Linked DNA regions of Arabidopsis thaliana. The protein of the gene in region 1 interacts with the protein of each later gene in a biochemical or structural test. Each region holds a gene or a part of one and is shown on either strand. Other genes may lie near its edges.

Region 1 (10,254 bases):
AAGATAAAGTTTCTTTGGATGAAGCAATCGACTTGGCATGGACAAATGATGAGTTTGATTGTCTCGTAGATCTAGTTTCATCTGAAGGAAGTCATGAGGCTTACAATTACCAGAACTCAACGACAGGCCTAACACCACTTATGGTCTTTGCTGGAAAGGGCAGGGTTAGCGATGTCTGTAAGCTCCTTTCAGTCGGCGCTGACTGTACACTGAAGTCCAAAGAAGGTATAACAGCATTAGAATTAGCTGAAAAGGAGAATCAATTTGAAACTGCTCAAATAATCAGGGAACATGCGGGTAACATCCAGTCCAATTCTCAGCAAGCACAAGACTTACTTGATAAGTATATGGCGACAATCAAACCAGAAGAAGTAGATGTGGGTCTTATAGTGAAGTTAATGAAGAAAATATGCAGCGATTCAAAAGATGGTGCCATTCTTGTTTTTCTACCTGGGTGGGAGGAAATAAGCAAAACAAAAGAGAAATTGCTTGATGATCGGTTTTTTGCACATAGTGCTAAATTCATCATTCTATGTCTTCACTCAAGGGTTCCAGCTGAGGAACAGAAGAAAGTTTTTAATCGCCCCCCTCGTGGTTGTCGCAAAATTGTACTTGCAACAAATATTGCTGAATCAGCAGTTACCATCGATGATGTGGTTTATGTGATAGATAGTGGTCGGATGAAGGAAAAGAGTTATGATCCCTATAATGACGTGTCAACGCTCCAATCTTCTTGGGTATCAAAAGCAAATGCAAAACAGAGGGCAGGCCGAGCAGGCCGTTGCCAAGCTGGCATCTGTTATCATCTATATTCTAAACTCCGGGCAGCGTCTTTGCCCGAATATAGAGTTCCTGAAGTTATGAGAATGCCAGTGGATGAACTCTGCTTGCAGGTGCTGTTCTTTCTAACGTAGATTTTTTCTATGATGTTTAATTGTCATTCATGCATGGTAGCGTCCTGTTTGAGACTTCTTGCGTTCTTGATTTCTTACTGATGTCCTTCTATAATATCAATATGTTCAGGTTAAGATGCTGGATCCGAATTGCAACGTAAATGATTTCCTTCAGAAATTGATGGACCCGCCTGTTGCTCAAAGTATTGAAAATGCATTAATCATCCTTAAAGATATTGGAGCTTTGACTCCTGAAGAAGAGCTGACTGAACTTGGACAGAAATTTGGTCAGCTTCCAGTTCATCCTCGGATTAGCAAGATGATTTATTTCGCCATATTAGTGAACTGTTTGGATCCAGCACTTATTCTGGCATGTGCAGCTGACGAGAAGGATCCGTTTACCATGCCCTTGTCGCCAGGTGATAGAAAAAAGGCTGCTGCCGCAAAACATGAACTTGCATCGCTTTATGGAGACCACAGTGATCATCTTGCCACTGTCGCGGCTTTTCAGTGCTGGAAAAATGCAAAAGCAAGTGGTCAAGCTAAGGAGTTTTGTTCTAAGTACTTCATCTCCCAAGTTGTCATGAAGAGGCTGGATGATCTGTGTCGCAAGCTTCAGGGAGAACTTAATAGACATGGGGTCATACCTAGCAGCAGCTCAAACTGTAGCCTGAATGCTCATGATCCGGGTATTCTCCGTGCTGTTATAGCAGTTGGATTGTACCCTATGTTGGGAAGGATGTGCCCACTTTCCAAGAATCGGACAAGGTCTGTAATAGAGACTATTGCTGGAGCCAAAGTCCGTGTGCCCTCGCTATCAAACAATGTTGACATGTCCTCTACCAAGTTTGACGAAGCTTTAATTGTTTTTGATGAGATCACTCGAGGAGATTGGGGTGTGGTGATAAGGAGCTGCACTGTTCTTCCCACTATACCTGTGTTACTGTTTTCAAGAGAGATAGCCGTTTCTACTACAGAGAGCTATGATGCTGTTAAGAGTGATGACGAGGAAGACCACAAAGTAGGAAATGTAGGAGACGCGATGGACATAGATAAAGAAGTTGGTAGGCCTGGAGAGAAAATAATGCTTGGGCCGGAAAATTCAGTAAAAGTAGTAGTGGATCGGTGGCTGCCTTTCAAGGTTACAGCTTTTGAAATTGCTCAAATGTACATCTTGAGAGAGAGACTAATGGCGTCCATTTTGTTCAAGGTACATGAGTTATCACTACGATTTAAGATTTTCATTATTTTATTTTGGCAATGTCATCCTTTTCAACCTTCCATATGCATTTGTAGGTTAAACATCCAAAGGAAAATTTGCCGCCTCATCTCGGTGCTTCTATGTATGCAATAGCTTCTGTTCTCTCATATGATAGCCTCGCACAATCTTCAGTTCAAACTGTAGCTGTGCAACCTATTACTTCAGTGGTAGATGCAACGAGTCCCAGAGATGACATACCTTCCACTAACCCCAATGAGCTTCGGGAGCATGACCCGAACACTACTCCAATGGGGTCAAAGCTCGAATTAGCCAACAAGTTGGGTTTGGGTAATATGGAAGAGAGCTTGCCTTCAAATTTCGCTGATGGGAATGAGCAACCTGACCCAAACACTTCTCCAGTGGAAGATGTTTCGGCGGCTACAAAACAAAAGAAGATGCAGTCAGAGTCCAAAAGGTGCAAGTCGCTCAACAACGTGGATTTGGGGAACATTGAAGAGAATTTCGGGAACATGGAAGAGAACCCACCTTCTGATCTGGCTATTGGGAATGAGCAAACATTGCCGAAGTTAGCTAGCAACTTGGACATGGGGAACATGGAAGAGAACACGCCTTCTGATCTGGCCAATGGGAATGAGAAAACAGAGCCTAACTCAGCCAACAGCATGGATTTAGGGAACATGGAAGAGAACACGCCTTCTGATTTGGCAAATGGGAATAAGAAAAAAGAGCCTAAGTCAGTCAGCAAGTTGGATCTGGGTAGCGAGAAAGTGAGCATTCCTTCTAATCTCGTCAATGGAAATGAGCAACATGACCTAAACATTGCTCCAGGTGAAGATGCTTCAGCGGCTAAGCAACCAGAAAAGAAGCGATCCAGGTCTAAAAAGCGCAAATCAGGCAACAACCTGGATTTGGGGAAGATGGAAAAGAGCAAGCCTTCCGATCTGGCAAATGAGAATGAGCAAACAGAGCCCAAGTCAGCCAACAACTTGGATTTAGGGAATATGAAAGAGAACACGCCTTCGGATCTGGCTAATGAGAATGAGCAAACAGAGCTTAGGCTACCTAACAACTCGGATTATGGTAACATGGAAGAGAGCTTGCCTTTGAATCTTGCTAATGGGGATGAACAACCTGACCCAACCACTGCTCCAATGGAAGCTGCTAAGCAACCAAAAAAGAAGCGATCAAGGTCCAAAAAGTGCAAATCAGTCAACAACCTGGACTTGGGGAACATGGAAGAAAACAAGCCTTCTGATCTGGCAAACGGAAATGAGCAAAAAGATCCTGAGTCAGTCAACAGGTTGGATCCGGGTAAGGAGAAAGAGAGCATTCCTTCGAATCTTGTCAGTGGGAATGAGCAACCTGACTCAAACACTGCTCCAGCTAAGAAACCAAAAAAGAAAAAGCGCAAATTAGCTAACAACTTTGATTCGGTTAACAATATGGAAGAGAAAATGCCTTCCACTAATGTATTGAGCCAGGGAAACAAGTCAGGTTTGATTGAGGAAAAACCGAGCATACCTTCCGATCAATGAGCAGTGTGGCTCAAATACTGCACCAACCTAAGCAAAACCGAAAGAAGAAGGGAAGTATGATGCCCATTCCACTTTGGTGTTTTAATGAGCATTTCGGTGTTTGTCATGAAACCAAGTTTTGAAATGGCACTTGTCTACATAAGTGTAACAGATTCTTAATTTCAACAATTTTGTTAGATAATTTGTATTCATTCTCACTTAGTGCTTCCGTTGTTCTATCGTTATAAACGTTTTAAGATATACGCATGTAACTGAAAGAAGAAAAGCCATTATTGATCCAGTACTGTAGTGTCTTAGTGTGAGCAGAAAAAAGATTTGATCATGGAATGGCTTTAGAGTAAAATACTAAAATAGATGGAATCGAAGGCTTATGAATCTGACGTGGAACAAGAAGAAAGCGTATCTGCCACGTGGCACAATACAACACCTCAACAGCCTTATCTGGACATCAACAGAGAGATCCTCCAATATCCGAAACCAACCAATCAGCTTCACTCTTGGTTTCACCTCCATACATTAACACACCAACAATCCTCAAAAAACACTTTCATAACTTAATCACACACAAGGAGAGAAGAGAGAAAGAGAGAAAGAGAGACAGAGATAATGGCGTACAGTGCGTGTTTCCTACACCAGAGCGCATTGGCTTCATCAGCCGCACGATCATCATCTTCCTCCTCATCCCAGCGTCACGTGTCGCTCTCCAAACCTGTTCAGATCATCTGTAAAGCTCAACAGTCTCATGAAGACGATAACTCCGCCGTCTCCCGCCGTCTTGCTCTCACTCTCCTCGTCGGCGCCGCTGCTGTTGGTTCCAAAGTATCTCCTGCTGATGCCGCCTACGGTGAAGCTGGTGCGTTTATAAAATAAAATAACCTTGGATCATTTCATTTTCTTGAAGAAGAATCTTGAAGAACATATTGTGTTTTTTTCATCCTATTTTTATTTTTTGGTTTGTTGCAGCAAACGTGTTTGGGAAGCCAAAGACGAACACAGACTTCTTGCCATACAATGGAGATGGGTTCAAAGTGCAGGTTCCAGCAAAATGGAACCCAAGCAAAGAGATTGAGTATCCAGGACAAGTCCTTAGGTTCGAAGACAACTTCGATGCTACTAGCAATCTCAATGTCATGGTCACTCCTACCGACAAGAAGTCCATCACTGATTACGGTTCTCCCGAAGAGTTCCTCTCTCAGGTCTTTGCTTTACTCCATCATCTGTAAAGGTATTGATGTTACAAAATCTAATGAAGTGTGAGACTGAGTGGTGATTTGGGCTTTATGCAGGTTAATTACCTCCTAGGGAAACAAGCTTACTTCGGTGAGACTGCCTCTGAGGTAAACTTCCCATTGTTATTTGTTATAAGTAAACCAGAAGCTGATAGAATAGAATAAGAGAATCAAACACTAAAGAGAGAACACATTGTCTCCCTCGTTGTTAACTGATAAAACAAAACTCAAAAGCTTTTTTAACTGATAACCTTCAAAGACCTCTCTAGTAGTCGATGATTATTACAAGAAAGATTCTTACCTTAGGTGGAGTGAGTTATCAAGTTCTAACTCTGTGTGTGTGTGAATCTGATGTTCTTACAGGGAGGCTTTGACAACAATGCAGTGGCAACAGCAAACATTCTGGAGTCATCATCTCAGGAAGTTGGTGGGAAACCCTACTATTACTTGTCTGTGTTGACAAGAACGGCTGATGGAGACGAAGGTGGGAAGCATCAGCTGATCACAGCAACCGTGAATGGAGGGAAGCTTTACATCTGCAAAGCACAAGCTGGAGACAAGAGGTGGTTCAAGGGAGCCAGGAAATTTGTCGAGAGCGCAGCCACTTCTTTCAGTGTTGCTTGAGTGAAAGCAACACAACGTAACAATGCTCTGCTTGCTTTCTTCATTTGTCTCTTGTAAAAAATGGAAAATGAAACTGAGCTTTTGAGAACTATCAAGATGATGTTACCTTTTCGGCATCACTTGTGTACCTATGATAACAGACTCGTTTTCCAAGTTTTCTTAAAAAACAACTATATTCAATAGATATTTTCTCAAATTAATAAGATATTGACTCAGAAAGAAGCTATAGACTAAATCTAAATCCTTGAAAGCACAAAGATAGTGAGAAGAAAGCCTGCTTGAAGCTGATATGAAAAGAGGTAAGCATCAAATGGTTCTTCTAGTCAACAGAAAGGTTAAAACGCAGATGAATTTTGACGTCTGACTCTAACTAGATCTATTGAAGCATATGCCAAAGGCCCTCCTCTTTCTTTTTGGCTACTGTAAAGTTCTCAAAGAGGCAAAAAGATTTTATTTGCATATGTATTACAACACTTTACCATCATCTATATACTACTTTTAGTTCATATTGTAACTTTTGAGCTTTACAAATGCTACAAACAGAGTGTTAAGAGTTCAGAGATACTCAACAGGGAAACCAACGACGGGTTTTATCTCAGAGGCCAGGGACCGTAGCTCACTCACTTCATTGTCTGTCAGACTCCAACCTATCGCTCCAGCAAACTCTTTGGCTTGTTCTGCGTTCTTGGCTCCTGGGATGGGTATCACGTTCCCTTGTGCCACCAACCAGTTCAATGCTATCTGCACAGCACAACACAACAAAACAAGAAGGCATATGATTTGATGCAAAATCGAGGGTGTACACTTGGATAGCTTAATATGGATCACACAATTACTCTTTTGTATTTTTCTTAACGTTTTTGGACAGGGAAAAAGAAAAACAGAGTGCATAAGGAAAAGGGAAAGAACCTGTGTGGGAGTTTTGCTGTAGTTTTCCCCAATTTGTTTGATTCTATTCAACAGGGGTTGAAGCTGTAACGTCACAAGTCAAAGTTAGTGAAGAAACCTGGCACTATTATGCTACCTTTTGATAATTTCTGTATAGGTACATTGATTGGTGTTGTGTTTTGTATAAAAGTGTATACTTTGTCTCAAAACAGAACTTACTAAGAAAAAAGCAGGATTAGAGGAGAAAATCGACAGGTTTATAACAGTGAGATATACAAGTTATCAAAATCCAAAAATCTGTTTCTTAGAAGACTCGAGGGTTATTCAGATGTAACTATGGTTTTGCAGACATACACGCCTGTGTTAAATAACTTAGATATATGCAGCGAAAGCTATTACCTTTGTTAAGAACTCACGCGTATAAATGCGACCCCGAGGACCTGAGGGTGGGTTCTCTGGGGTGTATTTACCAGTTAGAGCACCTGGAAAAAAGACAAAAGAGCAAATAACGGAAAATGTATGTGTTCATTAGCCAGGTTGTTTTGCGTCAATACTATAAGAGCCTGATGCAACTTTTCTAGAGAACGATAGACATGAACACAACGCAAAGGAGATAAAGGCAGATTACCTTGAGCGATGGGGGAATATGCAATTAAAGTAACTCCAAGCTCATCACAAGCAGCCTTAACACCAGTCTGCTCTGGAGCTCTGTATATCAGACTGTAGTTGACTTGATTTGAGGCCAGAGGAATTCCTCTCTTTTTGAGTCTTTCATAAGCATCACGAAGCCGCTTCTCTGAAAAATCGCACAACAGTAAGTATAATGAATTTGAAAGTTCATAAGATATGCATCCGTGAGAAGGAAAAAACAGATTGAAATGATACCGCTGTAGTTAGAAACACCAACAGCCTTGACAAGTCCTTGTTCAACAGCATCCCCAAGACCATCAAGATATCCTAAAAACATAACTCACAATGTCAATGGATTTGATATAATCACCAAAAGTGACACGAACTCTAGTTAAAAGTAGATTCAGTGCTGCTCTTAAGAAAAAACCTTCATTTCCCCATAGTCCTGGCCTGAAATATAATTAAGAAAATAGTGAGATTGTTACCTTCTAGTGTTGTTTACTCCAACATGAATTAGGGGTGCATACCAATGCAGTTGATAGAGATCAACAGATGAAAGCTCAAGCCGGGAAAGGGAATCTTTAAGGGCAGTGACAACACTTTCACGACCAAATCGCCATGGCAATGCAGCAAACTTGGTTGCAACCGAAACCTCAGCTCCGGGATATCTCTCTTTTCTCTCACGGATGAATCTGTTCGAAAATCTCACCAATGACAGTCAAGAGGAATATATATGAGGATAGTGTGGCACACTGTTATATGTTTTCGAAACAAATTACCTTCCTAAAAGAGTTTCAGAGCTTATAGCACCCAGGGAAAACTATAAAAGATGGAGATTTCCAAATTAGTTTCAGAATAAACCAATTTACGAAGAGTGATCAGCTTTCTTACGCTTACCTTGGAACCATAAACTTCTGCGGTATCGAAAAAATCAATACCGTTGTCAAGACTGGTGTCGAAAGCACCTTTAGCCGCCTTCAATTTTCTGTCTACCATCACAGAGAATAAAAAAAAAGAGATTAACTTTTAATTCATTTCAATACTTTTGTTTCACAAAATGTATAAAATTGAGAATCGAAATTAAGAGAACTGACCATCCCACTGGAAATCATTCCAATAGCTGTTATCACCCCAAGACCAGACTCCGATCCCAAGCTTCGTCACTTTCAAATCCGAGCCACCCAATTTCACTTTTGATTCTTCCGAAATCGCCGGAGCCACGGAATCTCCGGAGGCTACAGCTCTGACCAGCTTCCGGACGAAACTTCTTCTTCCATGAGAGCCTTCGGAAACAACATAGTTGAAAGGGAAGGTGAAGTGCGTAGCCATGGCCATGCTGATTTGTTTTTGGGTTTTGAAATTGGAAAAGGAGGAGGAGAAGCCAAGAAGAAGAAGAAGAAGAAGAGGTTTGGGCACTGCGAGAGGTGAGAGACTGTGGATATGGACACGTATGTTGTTGGCGGGCCAAACAATTCTTTAATGAATAACCGGTGAAATTCAAAAACAAAAAAACAAAACTGACATTGGTTTTCTCTTGGGCTTGGTTGGGCCTTTGTTTATTTACTTTTCAGTTGGGCCTTTTAGCTTTGTTATGCTGCTTGTTTCTTTTTTTTTTTTTTTTTTTTTTTTCATAAATAAGAGACGACAAAAAGAAGAAGAAGGTAACGATTTGTTAAGAAAACTAAAACATTGTAATTATCATACACGACTAACGCAAATATTCAATGATCAAGTTATTCGAATTTTTGAGGTTATTAATCCAAAAGGTAGAGAGAAATAGGAATAAGAGGGATCATATAAATAAAATCAGAGTTCCTTTCTCTCCCACTCAGCAAACGGCAACAATAAACTTTGCCATCAATTATCTCTCTCTCTTTCTAGCACAACAAAATTTGTGTGCAAAATCAAATCATCAAATGAAACATAATATCATCTTTTAATAATAGTAGTTATCACTCTCAAAACCAACCTCATTATCATTTATGGCAAATGGTACTATGTAGATTCTTTCTGATAGTTGCAGCGAAAAAAAAGATTTAAAAGTTTCAAGATTCTGGTGCTGGAGCTGCTGCTGGAGGTTTCAGGAGAGGCTGTAGCGCCTTCACAACTATGCTCATATTTGGTCTAAACTCAGCTTCGTATTGCACACACAATGCTGCCACCGCTGCTAGCTGCATTATATTGCCAACATAACATATTCTGTCAATCTCAAAGACACGAATATATCGAAAACGGAAATTTAATAGACATGAATATGAAACTATTGTATGTATCGAGGTACCTTAGCAACTGCTTTTGGAGGGTAATCGGCTTTTAGCTTTGGATCAATGCACTGTTTCACTTTATCTTCACTGAGTCTTGGTGTCGCCTGAGCACAGCCAATAAAATGAAATTGTAAAGCCAAGGGGACAATTAATACGAAACATTATAGTCCAGAACGTATGTATACTCACCCAGGTTACAAGACTCTGTTGACCTCTAGGCATGGTATGATCCACCGGTTTCCTCCCTGTAAGAAGTTCTAGAAGTACAACACCAAAGCTGTACACATCACTCTTCTGAGTTAACTGTCCAGTCATTGCATATCTGCATAAGAGGGCGGATTAACATTTTAGCTGTTTATTAGACATTCATACGAATACAAAACAATAAGGGCTTAAGAAACATTACTCTGGAGCATGATAACCAAAAGTCCCCAAGACTCTTGTTGAGTGAAGACGGGCAGCATTATCAGGTGCTTGATTCGAGAGATTGAAATCAGCAATCTTTGCTTTGTAGTCTTCAAAAAGAAGGACATTGCTAGATCTTATGTCCCTATGGATTACAGGAGGCTGAGACTTCTCATGGAGGTATTCCAAACCCCTAGCTGCCTCAACCGCTATCTTCACCCTCGTTATCCAGTCAAGTGTTGGACCTGGTTGTGCTCCTTGAACTCCCTTCCTACCTGTAATCGCACAATAAGCAACCTTACATGGACAAATTATCGTTTGGCACCGATATGAATACTTTTGGTCAAAACAGGGGGTTTATTTAGTTAGAGAACTGAGCAGAGAATCTTAAAGTCCAAAAAGCTAATCTTACCATGCAAGATGTCATGCAACGATCCCATTGTTGCAAACTCATATGCAAGGACGCGGAGGTTTCCATCAACACAAAAACCAAGCAATTGAATGAGATTTTCATGCTTCAGCCTAGAGACCATGGAAACCTAAGGAAGAGCAAACAACTAATAT
Region 2 (10,566 bases), on another chromosome or scaffold:
AATGGTACAGGAACATCAACTTCGGAAGACAAGAAGTCTCATGAGGTTGGTTAACTGATTGTGATTTGTTGATTAAGTTGTCAGTTTTTTGTACTTGTACCTTTCCTTTAAGCAACTAATCAGTCTTGTAGACACATAGAATCCTCTTCCTTTTCAACATTAGGATCTTCTATCTCCGGCTTCTTTCTCTTTTTATTTCCACTCAAAGATCTTTTCTTTTGCTACACAGAAGCGTGTGTCATCTGAATGATATGCAGAACTGACTATAATCGCCGCGTCTCATAGCTTGAAGGAAGCTTGGATTTCATATCAGGTACTTGTTTGTCAAAATCGCATATGTTTCACTCAGTTTAGATGCTGATATACGATCTTCTTTTTGCTATTTATCAGCCAGTACTGCTTGTGATGTATCTAGTGCAGTACATGCCTTCCCTTGGCTTTTGCTATTTAGTTTCTTTGCGCTCAAGAGGTTTTCAGATGCAGCTACGAGATAAATCGGACTACTGTATATAGTAATCCAACAGGCTTTTGAGCCCAGTGGACTTGAGTTCCTAGAAAAGAAAAACCGAAAAGAAAGTTATGTGATGCGTATATTGAAGACTAATGAAAAGCTTTTGGGGATTCACTTGCTGCCAGAAACTCACAGACAACACTCCTGCCAAAGCTGTCACAAGGCTGATCACTGTTCATTCTTTCCTTCTCTGCAGATATGTGCCGGCAGTAATTTAATTTTTGGTAACTGCTTTCTCCTTCTTCTCCTTTACTCATTTCCCCTATATTTCCTTCCTTTTATCATCATTATATACAAATTGGTAAATATCATTTTTAGATTGTGATCTTCGAAAATTTATTATAGATGTCAATAGATCTAAAAGTTTATACAAGAAGAAAAGGTGAACTCGGAAACCGAAAAGATGGAGAAGGAAAGTCAGGAAAACTCGACCAGACCCGATGCTTCGTCTACTGTTTTCTCTTCCTCTAAGGTAATATCTCTCTATAATCCAAATATCCAATCCTTTTTCTCTTATGTGGGTGATGCGATATTTATACAAATTGCAGAGTACATGCGCAAGCCCTAGCTATCTCAAAGAAGCTGGAGACTTGATCAGTAGGTTGCCTGATGATATTCTCCAACTAATTCTCTCCTATCTTCCAACCAGATTGGCGATCAAAACTTCCGTTTTATCCAGGCGATGGAGGCATGTATGGTCTGATACATGGTCCCTCTCCTTCCATAGGGACAGACCGGATGCTCCTTGTATTAACAGAATCCTAGATCGCTACAGGGCTCCCAAGATGATGAGTTTTCGTATCTGTTCTTGTTGCAGGGCAGCCTGTATCAGCAGACCCGACACGCATGCTGACATCGACAGTTGGATCAACTTCGCCATGTCCCGAAACGTGGAGAATCTGTCCCTGTATCTCGATGAGGATAAATATGATATCCCTGAATTCCTTTACATCAATTCCTCTCTCAAGCAACTCTACCTTGATTTCGGCTGCAAAAAGGATTTTATATCTCTGAATCCCAAATGTTCTGTGTCTTGGACATCCCTGAAGAACCTGTCATTGTATCATTGCAACATCTCTGATGAATCCATTGCTATTATTCTATCTGGTTGTCCCATTCTCGAAAGCTTATTGTTGTTTTTCTGCAAGAAACTGAAGGTCCTTGATCTCAGCAAATCACCGCGTCTGATAACATTAGAAATCACTCGTAGATGTCGAATGGAGCCAACACAGCTCGTTGCACCACATATCCGTTGTCTCAGATTGATAAACTCTGAGAAACCATGTGCTTTAGTTGATGTCTCCTCTTTATCCCAAGCTGAACTAGACATTACCGCTTACGCAATAGTTGATAATAAACTGGAGGCTGATTTTCATCAGACCATGGTGGTAAAGATGTTAGAAAAGTGTCAGAATGTGGAGAAGCTTACTTTGGGGGCAAACTTTCTTAAGGTATATGTTTTCACTCCTGATTTAGTTTACATAATTAGGCTCTGATTTTCAAGAAAACTAGTGTGTTTTTTGGTATACACTCATTTGTCTTCTGTTTTTTTTTGTTTGTTATAGATGTTATCTCTTGCCGAGCTCCGTGGTGTTTCTTTTCCAAAGTTGAAGGCTAAAGCTCTGATACTTGAGACAATGATCTCTCGATATGTTATTCATGGTATAGTAAAGGTGCTACAAAACTCGCCTGACTTGAAGAAGCTAACCATACACCCAATGGGGTCTGCCGGCTCATATCCCATACCGGTAATTATGAATATTCCTTGACCCCGAATTTTGAATCATCATATTGAAATATACTTGCATTACAGGAAGAGCATATTGACATATACTTGGATTCTCATGGCTTGAATTGGGATCCATCCTGGAGCTCGGAGTTTAAGAACACTTCCCGCAGGAATGTAGAGTCAAAGCAAGTGGCTTCGTTTCTGCAACTTGTGCTTAAAACCATATCAACATTAGAGTTGATTGTCGCAAGGTTGGAAGGTTATATCAAAGGAAGACGTTTTGTAGAGTTGCGTCAGATGGTTCCAATGCTTCCTCGCAACAACGATGTCTCCATTGTGCTCAGCTCAAGAAGAAAACGATTCAGAGTGACTTAAGTCATTTTACATTTAAGTAGTACACTAGATGAAAATCTCTTGTTTGTTTTTCTTACTGAAATAATCGAATTCTGTTAAATTGATTTTAAGTTGTGAAATTGTTTTTACGTTTTACCATTTCCAATCTACTGGCTAACCTCGGAAAAACGGTCTAGTGAGCGAGCATTGCCTTGAGAAACAGTACCCGCCAAATCCAGCTCTCATGTACACAGTTTGATATTATTTCTTTCCAGTACTTTTGATTCAGCAACAGAGAGTTCTTTTCGGGCTATGTAAGAATCAATTTGCATTGTCTGCAGCCTATCCGGTGGGGAGCTGAGCCAAGGAGCAAGATTTGCTCCATATCCATTTTCTTCAATTCTAGTTATGCATGCCTTGAGATCCACGTACCTAAGATAAACAAAGAATCAGTCAGAGGTGACAAACCTAGGACAAAAGAAGTTGCGGAATCGAACAAATTTTGGCCTAAGGAACAGAAGCAAGGCATATCAAATATCACAAGTCTCAAGGTCTTGGATCTCTCTGAGAACAATCTTGATGGATCTCTCCCTTCATCTCCTGGGATACAGGCATGAAAGAATCTCTCGTAAGTTCATCTTCGCTTTTGCGTTTCATATACAGCTTCACTATCGTAATACATAACTTAGCAGTGAACTGGAAGAATTCAAAGCAAGGTCTTGCCAACAATAACGTCTGCCTCTACACTCTGATAGACCTCTCCATAACAAGCTATTCGGAGAAATCCCATATTCTTTAGGCAATCTCAAAAGCTTAAAGCTTTTAAACCTCTCATACAACGACATCTCTGGATTGATCCCACAAAGTTTTGGAAATCTTGAGAAGGTAGACCTTTCACACAATAACCTCTCAGGCGAAATCCCGCAGAAACTATCCAAGCTCAGTGAGCTGAATGTATGGAGTTGAGCAACAACAAACTTATAGGTAGAATCCATGAGAGTCCTCAGCTAGACAGATTGAACGATCCGAACATTTACGCAAACAACAACAAAATATGTGGAATGCAAATCCAAGAACCATGCTCGACACAGACCAAGCAGCCAGAGAAGCAATGTTTTCATGGAAAGCTGCAGTCATAGGTTGTCCTTGTGGAATTCTAATGGCAGTTGTCTAAATGTATATGGTTGGCTATTTCAGAGACTCATCACCACCACCAAGGCGATCTCTCAAGAACAGATGACTGAAGAAATCAAAATCTCTGTTTTTTTTAAAACGAAATGGAAGATTATTCAGATGCTGTAACATTGAAAAATAAAACAGTCTGTTAGCAATCCCTATGAAGTGATGTTATCAAGAGAGTTAAACAAAGTAAATTGTCAAATCACTTTCCAAAAAGTTGTATTTTGATCCTCTGTTTTTTACTCGATGAAAACAGAATCGTTTAATGTAAACATTGGCAGCATATAACAAATTCACAAAAATCTGTGTCTTTTTGGTGACATCAAGGATTTTAAGATAACAGCAGAGATTTGTTAAGCAAAAAGATTGTTTAAACAAGAAATATCACCTTCTTGCGATGACGATCAGTGTGAGACATATATTCCAATGGAACACGAGCACCCCTAGAAAGCTTTGAAAGAACAGATACTAAATCTCCAAGACCGGAAATGTCCTCATTAGCAACCTTCTTTATGATACAAAAATGGTTGCAGATACAATTTCCATCTTACTTATCCTCACTCCTAAACTTAACAACTGCATACAAGTAGCCAATGCACAAAGTAATATCTAGCTACTTTACTATACCCAAGAGGGATCTAGAATGTCAATTGCATAGAGTCCATGGTCATCATCAGGGACCAATACTTCAATATTATCATCCAACGGCTCTGTATAACCTGCCAACAAAATAACATTCAAGTTCAAGATCTGCTTCATAACTCACTTTTCTAAAAGTCCATAGTCAAACACAGACAAAATCTTCTAAGTGATCCTCATCAACCATTTGCTTTCAGATTTTGATTTTGGTGACAGGAATCGATTTGAGAAATAACCCCAAAACCTGAAATAGAATCAATTGTATCTAAAATGGGATTGAGAGACGTCAAAATTGTTTTGAATAGAATGAATTGTACCTAAAAACAACAACTTTCATCAGATTGAGAGAAGAAGACGAAAAACTAATATGGAGCTAGCAACATGTATACTATTTCACTTTTTTTAGAGTTTTTCAACCAATCAGAAGGCTGTATTTCACCCCCACTCTCACAAAGTGAGCGTTGAGCGCGTGAGAGCACTTCTGTGGGTGTACCCCTTTGGAAATCATGCCTTTTTTAATCTACGCACTCCTCTCTGAAATCCCCATCGCGTGCAATTGTTTTTGTTTTCTTCTCTTAACCAGTGTAAACCGAAACCAAAATCAATTCTAATTTAAACCTAACCGAAAAATCAATTTCAATTTCATATAAGAACTCCACTATCAAATTAACAAATCATATAAACGTAAGTCTTTAAGTATAATATTTTTATTAAATCGCGGTACAAGCCTAGTCAGAATATACTGTTTTATTTTTTCCAAAACATAAATTATACTATAATTTCATTTTGTCTTAACAGATATTTAATTTCATTCTATGTGCTATACTCTAATACTTAACAACTAATCGGAGCACTAAGAATATACTAATAAAAATCGCTTAGAAAGGCAAAACAAATTACTATCATCAGATTTCTTCCCCAATCTTCTTCTTCATATCCTTGAAGGAGAGAGTATAGAGAATCCGATCCAAAAACCCTAAACCCCATTTCCCGCGGATTTTCTCCCAAGCTGATACGGAGATCAAATGGGAGATCCGTTGGAGAGGTTGGGTTCTCAGGCATCAATGGCTACTGAGTCTGTCATGAAGGAGGACTTGTGTTTAGAGATCGATCCTCCCTTAACTGAATCCGTTGCCACCGCTGAAGATTGGCGTCGTGCTCTCGGTAAGGTTGTTCCCGCCGTCGTTGTACTCCGCACAACGGCTTGTCGCGCCTTTGATACCGAGTCCGCCGGTGCTAGCTATGCTACTGGTTTTATCGTTGATAAGCGACGTGGGATCATCCTCACCAATCGCCATGTGGTTAAGCCAGGTGCGCCTTTTGACTTGTTGAGAAACGAGTGTCAGAAGATTAGCTGGGTTTCAAGAATTCATAAGAGATGATGTTATTGTTGTGGAACTGTAGAACTGATCATGGTTTTTCAAAGTATTTGTTTTTGGATTGTTCGATTTTCCATAGGTATTAGTTACATGTTTATCTAGAATGGCTTAGCTCGATATGGATATGGAGATTATTTGGTCATTCCTTCTGGGTTTGAGTAGACAGAGAATCTCTTTAGAGTTCAGTAAAATTGATTTGTAAATTCTTTCTTCTTACGTAGGCCCAGTAGTTGCTGAGGCAATGTTTGTGAACCGAGAGGAAATCCCAATCTATCCTGTATACAGGGATCCGGTAAGTCATTTCGGTTTATGTTCGATCAAATGAGCATGCATCTGCAGGAGCTAGAATTTGTGTCTCATCTTTTTATGTTTACTTTTCTCCCTTCTCGACTTGTCCATTGTCATCAGGCTGACATTCTTTGGTATTCTTTTCAGGTCCATGACTTTGGCTTCTTTTGTTATGATCCCAGTGCTGTACAGTTTTTGACTTACCAAGAAATTCCTCTTGCCCCAGAGGCGGCTTCTGTTGGACTCGAAATTAGGGTTGTTGGAAATGATAGCGGAGAAAAGGTAAGATACATAGGATGGCGGATTACTTCATATTTTAGACTGTATTTTTCAGTTTCATGTTATAAAAGCAGTCACTTACTCAACTTAGCTCTCAATTTAAATTTTGATGAGGTCAGAACTGTCTATCTATTGTTCAAGTTATTCTGTCAAATGTCAAACTTAGGGTGCAAAAAAAAATGCATTTTAATATATGTTTGGTGCATTAAGACGCATTTATGGATAAGTAATGCTTCTGGTAACTGGAGTGTTGATTTGCAGGTTTCCATACTGGCTGGTACTCTTGCGCGGTTGGATCGGGATGCTCCACATTACAAAAAGTATCTCTGCTTCACTGCTCATGTTTTTTAGTTCTGCTTATTCCTCAACATGAAAATTTGTTTGATGTTACTTGATACTTGCATGAAATCTTCGTAATTTCATATAGGTAGTAATTGTTGAACTAGTAATATACCACCGGTACCTTTTATAGTTTCTTATGGCTACCTGCTTTGTAATTTTTATTTTATTTTTTGGTGCAGGGATGGTTATAACGACTTCAATACGTTTTATATGCAAGTAAAGTGACTCTGTCCTCTTTAATATTTATTGCTTTAAATTTTAGTCACTAACTTATTTTGAACTGAATTGCATGCTGTCACTCTGTGTCAAAGCCTTGTTTTCTCTTCTTAGTCGTGTCATGCTTATGGTTAATCCCTGTTTCCACAAAAATGTGTCTCTTACTCGTATTTACTCTAAAATATCACGAGTCTACCACTAGGGTAAAACTTTCCTGTTTGTAGCTTATTGTGCAATACACAAGTATGTTATGCTACTGTTATTCAAAGTGTAAACCTTACACATACGCTACTGTTTGTTAATATGGTATCTGTGTTTATAGGCAGCATCAGGTACTAAAGGTGGTTCAAGTGGTTCTCCCGTCATTGATTGGCAAGGCAGGGCAGTAGCTTTGAATGCTGGCAGCAAGTCGTCAAGTGCATCAGCCTTCTTCCTACCACTTCAACGAGTGAGCAATCTCTGTTTCTCGTATACTTGTATCGATGGTTCAGTTACGACTAGAATCGAGATGGTGTAACTTATTTAGTCACTGAAATAACCCCTGTAAATTCAGAACATTAGATTATTGTGTAGCTTCTGCTTCTGTCAAAGTTAAGAATTGATAAGTGTATAAAGCCTCCACTAGAGGGTTGTTTAATGTGCTTGGTATTCCGAAAAATAGTTCATGCTGGAAGTGTGTACAATGTTACGAATAAACTACACATCTACTTCAGATCTCTTCTTTTCATGTATGGGATCCTGAGAATCTAGTAGGAAACACTGGGAAAGTCAGACATGGTTCTGGATCTCATTTTTTTTGTTCTTTACAAATCATTTTGTATTTCAACCCCTATATTAATTTGAAGTTTAGTTAGAAATTTGCTTAAGACTTTTGACCAAGAATGGTTCTCTTGTTTGGAAGGTTGTTAGGGCGTTAAGTTTTCTCCAAAAAAGCATTGACTCGCGGACGGATAAGCCAAAAGCAGTTCATATTCCTCGTGGTACACTTCAGGTTTGTTTTTCCCTCTCTGATTTTTGAGACTCTTCATAGTGCCGTTACGAAAATTTCCGCGAATATCAACTTTTGACTCTTTTTTAAATAGCTGGGTTCAGTTTATTGTCTGAAAAACTACACATACCATTACATGTACATGGTATGTCAATTAAATGTATGCGATATGAATGTTGTGTTCAAATCCTAGAGGGAAAATATATACGTTGAAAATCGTGAATATTACTTGATATCTGAATGACCATGGAACTTTGATCTGGACTACTGTGGCTGGTGATAGAAAGAATATCCTTGGGATCTGAAATAGTTCATGGTTTAATTTCTATTCACTTTCCAACGATTGTTAGATTTGAGATTCAGAGGAAGTTCAATATCTCTTACTTAATTATTAGTTCTGGGGTTTTCTTATGTAAGCTTTTATCTGTTTTCTTGTGTACTTTAGATGACATTTCTTCATAAAGGATTCGATGAGATACGGCGACTTGGTCTCAGGAGCGAAACTGAACAGGTACATACTATTCCTTCTTACCATCATTTAGGGCATCAGCTTTCCTCGTGATGCTCACTAACACCTTACAAAATGCTATCTCTTGATCGTGTAGGTGGTTCGACATGCATCTCCAACTGGGGAAACAGGAATGCTTGTTGTCGATTCTGTGGTGAGTGCATTGCTTTATTAATAACATTCAATACAATAATTATTTTCAAAGAATATGGCTATTGTTTAAGTGATGGTTAAATTCGAAACTTTTTATCCTAAATTTGATATGTCGTGATGGTAGGTGCCAAGTGGCCCTGCTGATAAACATTTGGAGCCGGGAGATGTTCTTGTTCGGGTGAATGGAACAGTAAGTTGTCTTGATTGCATCTTCTTAGTGAGAATTTAAATTTTTTTTGCCTCAAGTAATCGAGAATTGTGATATCTTTTGCGGCAACATTAGTAAAGAAACGTATTGTTTAGAGATTGGTTATTACCTGGCCACAGAACGTATTAATCAGTGCACTTAGATTGTCTAGTTCCTTTTTCCTCAGTTTGCTAAATCTTCCTTTATGCGTTTGATTGTTATTACAGGTGCTCACACAATTTTTGAACTTGGAGAATCTGCTTGATGACGGTGTTGGCCAGATACTTGAATTGGAGATTGAAAGGGGTGGACAACCACTATCTGTTAGTGTATCAGTGAGTTCCATTCTTCTATTTCTAACTTTGGTTTTATGTTCCTCGTAGTCTTCTAGGATCTTGTGTTTAGTTTCTGCCCTGTCACATACTGACTAGAAAAGCAGGAGACTATGCAAAGACTAGAAGTAAAATATATGTAGCCGTCTCTTCTCTTTTATTTTGGTCATTAAATTTGTTCTTGTAGCTCTTTTCGTTTCCCCTGATAGATGGAGTTCCTCAATACTTAATTTGCATTTAGAATTCTGCCTTAATGTGATTTATACTTCCTATCTATCATAAAAATCAAGAGCCTTATGTGTTTGTGTATTTCCTGCCACAGGTACAAGATTTACACTCAATCACTCCAGATCACTTCCTGGAAGTAAGCGGTGCTGTAATTCATCCGTTGTCTTATCAGCAGGTAACTTAACTATGACTTGAAAAGATATTATCTGGAAATTTCTGTGCCTGCATGCATGATATTCTTGTGTCGTACAGGTGGAACTGTTGTGTTTAATTATGGCTTGTAACTATTTAATGTTCTATTAGTTGGAGAATCATATCAACATGCTAGATATTTTATTCATAATAAATGCTGTGGATCCACTTTATCCCCCACACTGTCTTGCTAGATCTGATTATGGAAGCATAACTAAGTGAAATAGTGATGTGACTACACTACCTCCTGCTAATAAAGAAGCTTACACGTATTTCACTGACACTTTCTTATTGGCATTAGCTGATCTTAAAATATTGTGATTTAACAGGCTCGCAATTTTCGTTTTCCTTGTGGCCTGGCTTATGTTGCGGACCCTGGGTAATTCCCTCTACTTCCGCCATCAAAATTTTCACGTTTTCTTGATTTATTTTTGACTGATGTGTCAATATTCTGACATGTGAGCTTATTGTTAATGTAAATGATTACGTGTCTCTGTATTTCTGGATTTACTTTGAAGAGCTCTTTTCTATTCAGATACATGCTATTTAGAGCTGGGGTCCCTCGACATGCTATCATAAAGAAGGTTGCTAATGAGGATATTTCCAGTCTTGGAGACTTAGTATCTGTTCTTTCAAAGCTTTCTAGGGGTGCTCGTGTTCCATTGGAATATATGTCTCACACTGATCGTCATCGCAAGAAGGTGATATTTCTTGTTTAAACAATCTTTTTGCTTAACTTCCTAACCCACTGTAAGCATATACTTGTCAAAATTTGATGCTAGCATTTATATATGATATTTTCTTAGGCTACTCCATATCAGCATCTTCATTCTTGCAAACAGTTTGTTGATTCTGTGATAATATTACCTCTCTACTCGGTGTTCCTAGTGTGTGAAATTTTGTGCTACTGCAGTGCTGCTAGATCTCTGTGATCACTTTTTACGGAAAACCGTTATCTTTAAGACTATAATTTTCACAACTGTGGATCTTTTTGCGTTAGCAACGTTCCTGTTATTAACATGCTTGCTTGTCCACGTTTCGTTTTGAACTCTATGTTAATACTCAAACGAGAAGTACTTATTG
Region 3 (11,249 bases), 5.4 Mb from region 1:
TCTTACTATTCAAAGATTAAGACAGTTGCAACTTGCAAGGAATCTTCAATTATGAAGACCCTCTTAAGTCAACTTCAGTCTCGGTCCTCTCTTCTTTTCTCGATATTACAAGGCAAATTTACTCTTTTTCTTAACAGTTAATTTCACGCTCAAAATATGAAAATTGCCTTTTAAAATGACGATATAGGAATTGAGACTCCTGAATCCTGATCACAACATGCTCTGTTTTCTTATGATGCTTTTATTACGACTTGTTTTTTTCCCCACATTTAGACATTTTGAGTCATAAAGCATTATGCCACCAAGATCAGACCCTCTTGCAACTTCATCTTCTCCTTCTCTCTTTGTCTCACTAAATTTGTTTCTCTTTGAGTTTTCTCTCATCTCTCCGTAGCATCTGCTTCTTAAAGCTAAGAAAACACACTCCATTCTTGATATGTTCTCTTGACTTGCTTCCGTTGACTAGTCCCCATTTTCCCAATAATTGCAGGAATCTGCAATAGTAAATATTATTTTACAGAGCCGGACCAATGAAATTCGGGCCATTTAAATTACGAAAACAAAGTACTTTTGTCTTTAAAACTATAGAGTAAATAGAAACCAATTTAAACAAAACTCTGAATTATTTATTTAATTGTATGTTAGATTTATAAATATTTTGGATCACACTATTATTTAAGATTAATATGTATAAAACTAACTATTTCTCCTATTAAAAATCAATATATATATATATGTATATTTAATTACAATAAAATTTCTGTGGGACCCTTTTAAAATGGGAGCCCCATTAGAATGTTTCATCTTCATGTGCTATGGTCCGCTCCAATATCCTTCTCTTACTTTTCTTGATTTCCAGGCAAATTATGTAGACCACCTTCACCTAACCCTTCTCTTCCCTGCTTTTTTATTTCCACTGTCTTTTAGAATTAGACCTATTGGTAGTTAAGACAAATGATAGTTAAGATTAGGTTTTCCAAAACTTCCACAATGGCTTAATCCTCATAGATAAACGAGCTTCTCGATGATTATCTGCAGCATACAGTTCAATGAAATCTTGTGCATATAATACCTTCTGAGCAAAAACAAACAAAACACTCAAAATATGAACAACAATAAAAAGAAATAACACATGTCAGAAAATGCAAATCATCAATGGTAAGATAAAAAACTAGTTTGCTTGATGTTGAAAAGCCAACGCTTATATATTGATTCAAAGAAGAAAAAAACAGAGTCTGTCAAGCTCTTACACATTAAGGTCCTTGAAGAAAAACAAGGTTCGGGTGAGATAGAGACGCACATATCGTGTATGAGTCCATTATGAAGAAGGAAAGTTGAAGAATGGGTGGTATACATTTTGGGGGAAATGATTTCACCAACCTTGTTGGTGCCAGGGAACTCATATCAACCAAAGGGAAGGGAAGATCAACTGTTTGCTTGGACCAATCATGTTTATTGACATCCTCTCTAGTATCCACAAATCAAAACGTTGGAAAGAAGCATATGCGTTTCTTGCAATCGACGCTAGCTTCCCTAGGGGCTTTGTTGGGCTCCGGAGGGAAACTCAAGGCCCATTAAGCCCAACTCTTTATCTTTTTTTTTTTTTTTTTTTCTCTTTCTCATTTTGAAAATGATTTGTTTAATGTTAGTCAAAATCGAAAGGGATAAAAAAGGGCAAGCCCTAGAGTTTTAGAAGCAGAGCTCAGTGACGACAATGGCGGAAACTATCAAGAGCGTATCTCCATTATCCGACCCCGATTCACCGTATTATCTCCCTCCAGATATTAATCAACCCTCCGATTTCTCTATCGAAAAACTCAGCGAAGCCGAAGACAACTACGTCATCTGGAAATTTCGATTTCGCTCTTTTCTCGAACTCACGAACAAAATCGGTTTCATTGACAGTACTCTCCCGCAGCCAGAACCTTCCTCGCCGCTCTATCATCCATGGAAACGATGCGACACAATAGTTAAGTATTGGCTGATGAATTTGATGAGCGAAGAGCTTGTAAAGTCTGTGATGTACGCGAAGACTGCTCATCAAGCGTGGGAAAATCTCAGACTTAGATTCGTTCCTTGCGTCGATTTGAAGATCTACCAGCTTCGTCGGAGGCTCGCGACGTTGAGGCAAGGTGGTGATTCTGTTGAGGAGTATTTTGGGAAACTGAGTAAAGTTTGGATGGAGTTGTCGGAGTATGCTCCTGTACCTGAGTGTAAGTGCGGTGGTTGCAATTGCGAGAGTACGAAACTAGCTAAAGAAGCGAGAGAGAAGGAGCAGCGTTACGAGTTTTTGATGGGGTTGAACAAAGAGTTTGAGGTTGTGAGGATAACAATCATGCTCAAGAAACCTCCTCCGCCACTTTACGAAGCTTACAATATGGTTAAAGGAGCAGAATTGACGATGAAGAGATACAGGAGATGAAGAATTTAGGAACCAGGTTCATGATCATAACTTTCTCTATATGTTATGCATTTCTTTTTGTAAAGATTCTAGTGTTTCTTATCTAGTTGTTTTTGATAACATCAATGTCATATGGAATAAGATTTATGAACTGATATTGGTAATCTGCTATTTTGCAAAAGAGTTTCTAAGTTTGCCTATAACCAGATTGGCTACTGGTTAGTATACCAATGGGAATTACAAACATGGTTATTGATGATTTATAAAAATTCTTTCAAATCATTATTAATGAAGCAAAGCATTATTGATGAAGCAACAAAGAGGTAGTTTTTTTTTTCTTACAAACAAAAGAAATACATGTGAATTTGTAATATCAGCGGCCAGTTTCAATGTCCAATATTGCTACATTCTTGATGCTGTCATAGCCAATGCTGCTACTGGTTTCGCCTTGTGCTGACAAGATGTGACCACCAATCAAGTGTTCATTCTCCTCAGGGTACTGATCCGACCACTTATGTTTGGTTTTTTCGACCCTCAAGGCTTCTAGCTTTGCAGCTACTTCTTTCATCCTTGGCCTTTCCTCTCCCATTAGCCTTGTACACTCTGCAGCAATTCTTGCAGCTTCCTGGATCTCCTTCAGATTATCCTCGTTCATCACTTCGCCGCCAATAATCTCATCCAACCTATTCTCTTTTGTGGCAGTCGCAAAGTAACTCACCAGATGTTTTGAGGACTGTGGCCGTTTAAAGCACAATGCCTTTTGACCTGAGAGCAGTTCCATTAGGACGACCCCAAAACTATAAACATCGCTCTTTTCGTTTAACAACCCTGTGTTGTAATATTCTGGGTCTAGGTAACCTAGAGTGCCTTGCACCATAGTTTCGAGCTCTTCTTTATCCATTGGTATCAGCCTTGAAGCACCAAAGTCAGCTACTTTTGCAGTTAAGTTTACATCCAGAAGAATATTTGCAGTTTTGATATCCCGATGGATGATTGGAATAGAAGCAGAGGAGTGAAGATATGCAAGAGTTCCAGCGACTTCTATTGCTATCTTCAGACGGTGTTCCCATGTAAGCGAAGAATCAATCATGGAACCATGCAAGTGATCGAAAAGGGTGCCATTGGTGATGAACTCATAGACCAACAAGGGAACTTCAGTCTCTAGACAGCAGCCCAAGAGCTTGACTACGTTCCTATGGTTGATTTGTGAAAGCACGAGCACTTCATTGATGAACTGCTCTACTTGGCTACTGTCTCCAAGTCGGGCTTTCTTTATAGCAACTATGGAGTTGTCCGGCAATATCCCTTTGTACACTGTTCCTTGGCCACCCTGACCCAGGATCCTGCTCTCAGCATAACCATTTGTTGCTTTCTTCATGCCATCCTCAGTAAAGATTTTGACATCAACATTTGACGGCCCTGCTCCTGAGAGTCGTTGTGTCAACATGCCGCCACCATTTTGCTCGAAGAATTGTTCTCGGAGCTTGGTGTCCTTCAGGTGCTTCATTCTCTGTTGTATACAGGCAACGCCAAGCAGAATGACCAAGAAGCCGATGGTGGTTACTGATCACACACATCGTAGATTCAGAGAGATGATTATAATAAGTTGATCTGGGAAACATCAAGTCGAGAAATAGTGAGGGAAACTTACCAAGAAGAATTGTAGTCCATGCAAACTCTTTACGCTTGCAGCTCATAGTGGTGGTATCTAAGCGGTAACCAGATTGACACTTACAATAGAAGCCTCCAACCTTGTTTCTACAGGTTTTGGGATCCGAACAGTTATGTCTATGGATAGTACTACTAGTAGTACACTCATTGACGTCTGGCACAAAGAAAAAGAACGCAAGATTCAACAAGATATGTAATGGGAAAAATATTACTACTCAGAACATGAAAGAAAGAAGAACCTTGGCAACCAGCTGAAAGGTATGGATTCCCATCAAAGCCTTCATTGCATCTGCAGATATACCCGTTTCTAGGAGTAGAATCGAGACAAGTGCTGTTCCCACCGCATATGCTTGTGCTTCCAACTTGCTCGCATGTCTGATTTCCAACAGACCAATCTAGTAACACAGGGAACCTCATGACATTTCGCAGATTCAGAAGATCTTCTGTAGAACTGAAGTTGAACTTATCATCTTCAACGAGAAAAGCGTAGGTGCAAGGACTAAAGTCGTGAAAAGAAGTCATGTGCTTGATGCGACCTGATGTAGTTTCGAATGTATAGCTATCCAACGGGGCAGAAACGTCGACTCTGCAGCAACCTCTACCATTACATTCTCCATCAGCCTCTGGGGGAGAATCGCATAATGACAAGCATGCAGTTGAGTAGTTTTGCATTCCAAAAGTGTCCAGAAGTGATAAAGCGTTACAGCCTACTGCAGTTAACTTGTTGTTGGCGGAAAGAGATAAATTTTCCAGTGTAAAAGAACTGTCCTCCTCAGTTTTTTTTCCTTGCTCGTCGTAGCAAGTAGAGGATCGATTAAGCAGAACTTGTAGCTGGCCGCTGTGATTAAAGTTTGCCACTTCAATGTCGCTTAAGACATGTGGCCTATCTTCCTTACAGGTGATACTGAAACTTTCATTTCCGGGATAGTAACAACCTGAAGAAATGCCAAAAGGGTACTCTATTGTGATGTTGCCACATTTATTTTGGCAATTCTCACCAGGTTGATGTTGCCCCTTCACCAGCTGCGTACACGCAAGGGAGAAGAAAATAGCCACCAAGAACAAACCCTCCTGCACCTTCATCTTCTACCTCTCTTCTCTCTTTATTTCTCTCTCTCTCTCTCTCTCTAACTCTGTTCCTCTTTTGAGTTTTTTTCGCTAATCTCCTTGTTCTTATAAGAAACAACTGTATACGAGATGTTCTCTCTCACTCATTTTCGCAGGCCCCTTCCCATTTTCCCAGAAATTGCAAGAAGACTAAAATTCAACTACACAACCAACGTAACCAGTGAAGAGGACGTTTAAGTACGCTGCTGCTTATTCCTGTATAGTATCCTAACATCCACGTTTGCTTCGGTTAAACAGTGACAACTATAGTCTATAGGTCTCGGTCTTCTCGTCTTTTCTTGATATCTTGTTCGTTAGTGAGGACAACTACAGGTCTCGGTCTTCTCGTCTTTTATTGATATCTTGTTCGCTAGTGAGGAAACCAATTTGCTTTTGTTAATTAATAATAGTGAGTGACACTTACTTGCTTACTATTCAAAGATTAAGACAGTTGATAGTTGGAAGGAATCTTCAAATGTCTTGGTCCTCTGTTCTTTTCTGGATATCACAAGGCAAATTTACTCTTTTTCTTAACAGATCTTTCCACCTCAAATTAAGCTTAAACTAATCTTAATTATATATTAATTAGTTAGACGATATGAAAATTGCCTTTTAACTATAATGACTATATGTAGAAATTAAGACTCCTGAATCCTGTGATCACAACATGCTCTGTTTTCTTCTGATGCTTTTATTACGAGTTTTTTTTCCCCATATTATAACATCACATTTAGACATTTCGAGTCACAAATCGAAGTTTAAGAGTTTTACATTTAGATGATTACAAAGAGAAGAGTAATATATATATACCTGAGCAACAAGAAGATGACATACATGTCAATTGATCTTTTACTCCATAAGAAAGGAAACATACATTTACCTAATCTTAAGAGTTAAATATATAGCTCATGTTAACTGAATAACTACGATAATGACGATGAAAACGGATTTTACATGTTTCTCCGGATCGTGGGACATTAGGGCATCTCCATTAGTTAGAGACTAACTAGGTCTATGACTAGAAAATACTCTTGTTTTTTGTAAAACTCTTCTTCTTTTTATTAAACGCAGGTACAAGACAAAAACTGATTCATCATTGCATAAATTGAGTAGTTACACGAAAAAGCAAAGTCTAAAGACATCATATCGATACATTGTCAGTGAGCTGGACAAAAACTCACTACTTTCCTCTCCCTTTGTCTAATTGAATCATATACACAAGTTGAAGTTCAGTCTTGGGACAGAGTAAATCACTTTTGCAGCATGCAACCAAAGGTAAAAGCATTACCAAACATACAAGTAAAAGTTAAAACTGAGAATTGAGATTCCTTTAATATTTGAGTCTGCACTTTCCCCAACTTTTATCTTCATCCACTGAAGTTGGTTCTAAGATAATTTTAGTCTGAATACGTGCTTGGTATTATTAGTAAGTCAATAAACATGAATTGGGGTAATCAAATGGAAGTAGACAACAAGTGATCATGCTTTGATTGGTGACTAACCTGCCAATAATCGTAGGATTGCTGACTAACACTTACTAAAAATCATATATTTTAACAAGAAACAAATTAAGAGATTTGATGTGATATACAATATCAAGCAATCTTATGCAACAAGAATGATGGGTTGTAGATGAGTAACGAAACATGATGACTCAAGCTGTAGATCAAATATGAAGTTTGCACCAAATGAGTCTTTTATTTTTTTAGTTTACCAAGCAACTAACAAAGAATCATATGGTTTGGTTTGAGGAAGCGGTATCTACGATGAACTCGACCAGGTGCTGAAGATTTCGATGATCATATTCATAGTATACTTACTCTCCTCTGTTTTTGACGCCTACTTTAAATTCTAGTGTTTTTTCTTCTCGAGTTGTTTTGTTTTTCTTTATAATTAAGCACAATGATATATTAATGTCGTATGGAATCATATTTATGAACTCTAGGTAGTTTTTCTAATACCTAATCAGCTACTGGTTAGCATATAAAAATATAGGAGAATTGTGAACATGAGTATATATGGATGATCTACAAGGATATCAATGTTTTTGAATGTCATGTTTTGATATTCTGGTTATGTTTATAAAGACAAAAGGAGATAAACAATAAAGAATTAAACAATATACTTTTTAACAAACAAAATTTATCAGCGGCCAGCTTCAATGTCAAGCAATGCTACATTCTTGACGCTGTCATAACCACGGCTATTGGTATCGCCTTGGGAAGACACGATGTTGCTACCAAGCAAGTGTAAATTCTCCTCTCGATACTGATCCGACCAATTATGTTTGGTTGTTTTGACGCTCAAAGTTTCTAGCTCTACAGCTACTTCTTTCATCCTTGGCCTTTCTTTTCCCATTAGCCTTGTACACTCTGCAGCAATTCTTGCAGCTTCCTGGATCTCCTTCAGATTATCCTCGTTCAACACTTGGTCGTCAATAATCTCATGCAACCTATTCTCTTCCGTGGCAGAAACAAAGTAACTCACCAAATGTTTTGAAGCCTGTGGCCGTTCAAAGCACAATGCCTTTTGACCTGAGAGCAGTTCCATGAGGACTACCCCAAAGCTATACACATCGCTCTTCTCGTTCAGAAGCCCTGTGGTATAGTATTCTGGGTCTAAATAGCCTAGAGTGCCTTGCACCATAGTATACCAAGTAAAGGAAAATATGAACATGATTATTGATGATGAACAAACAAGCTCTCAAAGCATATTGATGAAGCAACAAATAAGTGGTTTTCTTTTTTTACAAACAAAAGAGATACATGTGATTTTGTGAGCAATATCAGCGGCCAGTTTCAATGTCCAATATTGCTACATTTTTGATGCTATCATAGCCAATGCTGCTACTGGTTTCGCCTTGTGCAGACAAGATGTGACCACCAATCAAGTGTTCATTCTCCTCAGGATACTGATCCGACCACTTATGTTTGGTTTTCTCGACCCTCAAGGCTTCTAGCTTTGCAGCTACTTCTTTCATCCTTGGCCTTTCCTCTCCCATTAGCCTTGTACACTCTGCAGCAATTCTTGCAGCTTCCTGGATCTCCTTCAGATTATCCTCGTTCAACACTTGGTCGTCAATAATCTCATGCAACCTATTCTCTTCCGTGGCAGAAACAAAGTAACTCACCAAATGTTTTGAAGCCTGTGGCCGTTCAAAGCACAATGCCTTTTGACCTGAGAGCAGTTCCATGAGGACTACCCCAAAGCTATACACATCGCTCTTCTCGTTCAGAAGCCCTGTGGTATAGTATTCTGGGTCTAAATAGCCTAGAGTGCCTTGCACCATAGTTGTGAGCTGCTCTTTATCCATTGGTATAAGCTTAGAAGCGCCAAAGTCGGCTACTTTTGCAGTTAAGTTTTCATCCAAGAGAATATTTGCAGTTTTGATATCGCGATGGATGATTGGAATAGAAGCAGAGGAGTGAAGATAAGCAAGAGTTCCAGCGACTTCTATCGCTATTCTGAGGCGGTGTTCCCATGTAAGAGAAGAATCAAAAATGGAACCGTGCAAGTGATCGAAAAGGGTGCCATTGGTAATGAATTCATAGACCAACAAGGGGACTTCAGTCTCTAGACAGCAACCCAAGATCTTGACCACGTTCCTGTGGTTAATTTGTGAAAGCACGAGCACTTCGTGGATGAACTGATCTACTTGTCTACTGTCTGCAAGCCGAGCTTTCTTTATAGCAACGATAGTGTTGTCCGGCAATATCCCTTTGTAGACTGTTCCTTGACCTCCCTGGCCCAAGATTCTGCTCTCATCATAGCCATTAGTTGCCTCTTTCATGCCTTCCTCAGTAAAGATTTTGAAATCAATGTTTGACAACCCTGCTCCTGAAAGTCGCTGTATCAACATGCCACCACCATTTTGCTCAAAGAATTGTCGTCGGAGCTTGGTATACTTCCTTTGCTTCGTTGCATGTTGTATACAGATCGCAGCAAGCAGGAGGACCAAGACGCCGATTATGATTACTGATAACATCATGCATAGATGATTAGAGCGAGTTGATTTAAAGAGAATCTAGAACCAGTGAAGAGTGTTTACCAAGAAAAATTCGAGTCCGTTTGTATTCGGGCCTCGTGCAGCTCATACTGGAGTTTAAGTCGTAACCAGATGGACACTTACAATCGAAGCCTCCATCCCTGTTTCTACAGGTTTTTGGATCCGAACAGTTATGTGTATCACTAATACACTCATCGATGTCTGACCAAAGGAATAAGTGCACAAGATGCAACCAAAAACGTATGAGGAAGATTATAAACACTCAAAAGAAGAAAGAAAGCAAAGAAATTAATATGAAGTACCTTTGCAACCCTCTGAACGGTATGGATTCCCATCATAACCTTCATTACATTTGCAGATATACCCGTTTCTAGTAGTAGAATTGTAACATGAGCTGTTCTTACCGCATATTCTTGTGCTTCCAGCTTGCTCACATGTCTGGTTTCCAATAGACCAATCTAGTGCCACAGGGAACCTCGTGACATTCCTCAGATTCTTAAGATCTTTTGAAGAATCGAAGTTAAACTTACCATCTTCAACGAGAAAAGCGTAGGTGCAAGGATTAAACTGATATACCGAAGTATTAAATAGATCTAAGGAATTATTAACTTGGTTTCTCAAGCGAACTGAGCCAAATTGGAATGTATCGCTATCGAACGGGACAGAGAAGTCCTCTGTTGTGCAGCAACCTACACCATTACATCTTCCATTTGCCTCTGGTTGAGAATTGCATAATGACAAGCATCCAGTTGAGTAGTTTTGCTTTCCAAAAGTGCTCAAAAGTGATAAAGCGTTACATCCTACTAAAGTAAACTTGTTGTTGGAGGAGAGAGAGAAACTACTACCCAGCTGATACCCGAGGGCAGTTCCATTAGTCTCATTTTTCTGCTCGTAGCATTCAGAGAATCGTTCAAACAGTACACTTACATGGCCACTGTGAGAAATATTGGTCACTTGAATGATGCCAAAGAGTAGTAGCTTCTCTTCCACGACACAGGTGAGATTGAAATTATCATCTCCGGGATAGTAACAACCTGTAGAAATACCAAAAGGGTACTCTATTGTGACGTTTCCACATTTAAGTTTACAATCTTCGCGAGGTTGATGTTGCCCCTTCACAAGCTGAGTATATGCAAGGAAGAAAATAACCACCAAGAACACACCCTCCTGGAACTTCATCTTCTACCTTTCTCTTTCTTTCTCTCTAAACTTGTTTCTCTTTGAGTTTTCTCTCATCGCTTATTCGCTTCTTATAGCTTGAAAAGTAACCCCTGATTTGACATTGTTGAATAATCAAATGTGAAGAAAAGTAAAGATTCAGACTACTAGACGTTAGAAAAATATAAATGCGTCAACTTCTTTATCTGTCCTTTCTTTCTTGTCTTGATTTTTCCAGGAAACTCCAATTTATTGTTCATATATGAAAGTCTCGTTATAGTGACAATGTAGGAATAAGACTCATCATGATCACAACATGCTCTGTTTTCTTCTGCTGTCGTAATAGTAGAAATATGTAGTTTTTTTGTGTGTGTGTGTGTGTTGAGTTTATAAATGTCAACAAGTTTTCGAAGAATTTGAATAGTTCTTGCCTCATGTGTCATGTCGCTGCTTACTCTTCAAGAGGTTATCTATGAGAAATTTCCATGCAAATCCACCACTTTGTTAGAAACTGAATCTCCTTCTAGAAACAGAACAGAGTTAAGAACAGAGAAAGAGAATCAGACTTTGTATCACAATTGGTTTGATCGTCAACATAACAATAAAGAGAAGAACTTGTCTTTCTATTATAGAGAAAGTGAAATACAACAACTGTTTTACAAGGTTTACAACAATTAACTTAAATACAAACCAACAGACATGAAAAGTCAAGAGTTATGACTCTTCTTTCTTGTGACACAACAAACATAACTACTTTAACTTAACAGACACGACACTTAAGTAATATATTACAAACCAAACTCAATTACGACCAGCACTCTTTCACCGAAAGAAACCAGATTCATTCAAAGAAACTGAGGGAAAATCTTGAGAAAAAACTGAAAATACACTGTTTGATGATTAAAA

What was found.
Region 2: the proteins of PSBP-1 (region 1) and DEG7 form a complex in vitro, tested with the Arabidopsis thaliana proteins (one study listed by BioGRID).
Region 3: the proteins of PSBP-1 (region 1) and WAK1 form a complex in vitro, tested with the Arabidopsis thaliana proteins (one study listed by BioGRID).

The regions. Positions count from the first base shown.
Region 1 is NC_003070.9:2,043,684-2,053,937, forward strand, and holds PSBP-1 (photosystem II subunit P-1), read left to right. Parts: upstream 1-3,950; 5' UTR 3,951-4,256; coding exon 4,257-4,503; coding exon of another isoform or gene 4,504-4,507; intron 4,508-4,613; coding exon 4,614-4,846; intron 4,847-4,936; coding exon 4,937-4,987; intron 4,988-5,242; coding exon 5,243-5,503; 3' UTR 5,504-5,756; downstream 5,757-10,254. Other genes in the region: NIH (nuclear DEIH-boxhelicase), read left to right, coding at 1-893, 1,024-2,103, 2,190-3,650; AT1G06690 (NAD(P)-linked oxidoreductase superfamily protein), read right to left, coding at 6,059-6,244, 6,413-6,475, 6,791-6,873, 7,020-7,187, 7,277-7,348, 7,449-7,471, 7,549-7,713, 7,801-7,841 and 2 more; AT1G06700 (Protein kinase superfamily protein), read right to left, coding at 9,067-9,192, 9,303-9,389, 9,475-9,607, 9,692-9,965, 10,103-10,229. UniProt on the Arabidopsis thaliana protein: May be involved in the regulation of photosystem II.
Region 2 is NC_003074.8:794,304-804,869, forward strand, and holds the start of DEG7 (DegP protease 7), read left to right. Parts: upstream 1-5,196; 5' UTR 5,197-5,416; coding exon 5,417-5,702; intron 5,703-5,991; coding exon 5,992-6,062; intron 6,063-6,205; coding exon 6,206-6,340; intron 6,341-6,598; coding exon 6,599-6,657; intron 6,658-6,858; coding exon 6,859-6,895; intron 6,896-7,217; coding exon 7,218-7,343; intron 7,344-7,796; coding exon 7,797-7,886; intron 7,887-8,328; coding exon 8,329-8,394; intron 8,395-8,488; coding exon 8,489-8,545; intron 8,546-8,668; coding exon 8,669-8,734; intron 8,735-8,958; coding exon 8,959-9,066; intron 9,067-9,385; coding exon 9,386-9,466; intron 9,467-9,812; coding exon 9,813-9,862; intron 9,863-10,018; coding exon 10,019-10,184; intron 10,185-10,566. Other genes in the region: AT3G03350 (NAD(P)-binding Rossmann-fold superfamily protein), read left to right, coding at 1-45, 230-250; AT3G03360 (F-box/RNI-like superfamily protein), read left to right, coding at 1,202-1,203, 1,329-1,962, 2,077-2,259, 2,325-2,615; AT3G03370 (uncharacterized protein), read right to left, coding at 3,120-3,291, 3,402-3,580, 4,141-4,260, 4,380-4,471, 4,545-4,578. UniProt on the Arabidopsis thaliana protein: Probable serine protease.
Region 3 is NC_003070.9:7,433,418-7,444,666, reverse strand, and holds WAK1 (cell wall-associated kinase), read right to left. Parts: upstream 5,497-11,249; 5' UTR 5,156-5,496; coding exon 4,312-5,155; intron 4,227-4,311; coding exon 4,053-4,226; intron 3,965-4,052; coding exon 2,775-3,964; 3' UTR 2,554-2,774; downstream 1-2,553. Other genes in the region: AT1G21245 (Protein kinase superfamily protein), read right to left, coding at 7,325-7,825; WAK3 (wall associated kinase 3), read right to left, coding at 7,965-9,154, 9,228-9,386, 9,488-10,364. UniProt on the Arabidopsis thaliana protein: Serine/threonine-protein kinase that may function as a signaling receptor of extracellular matrix component. Binding to pectin may have significance in the control of cell expansion, morphogenesis and development.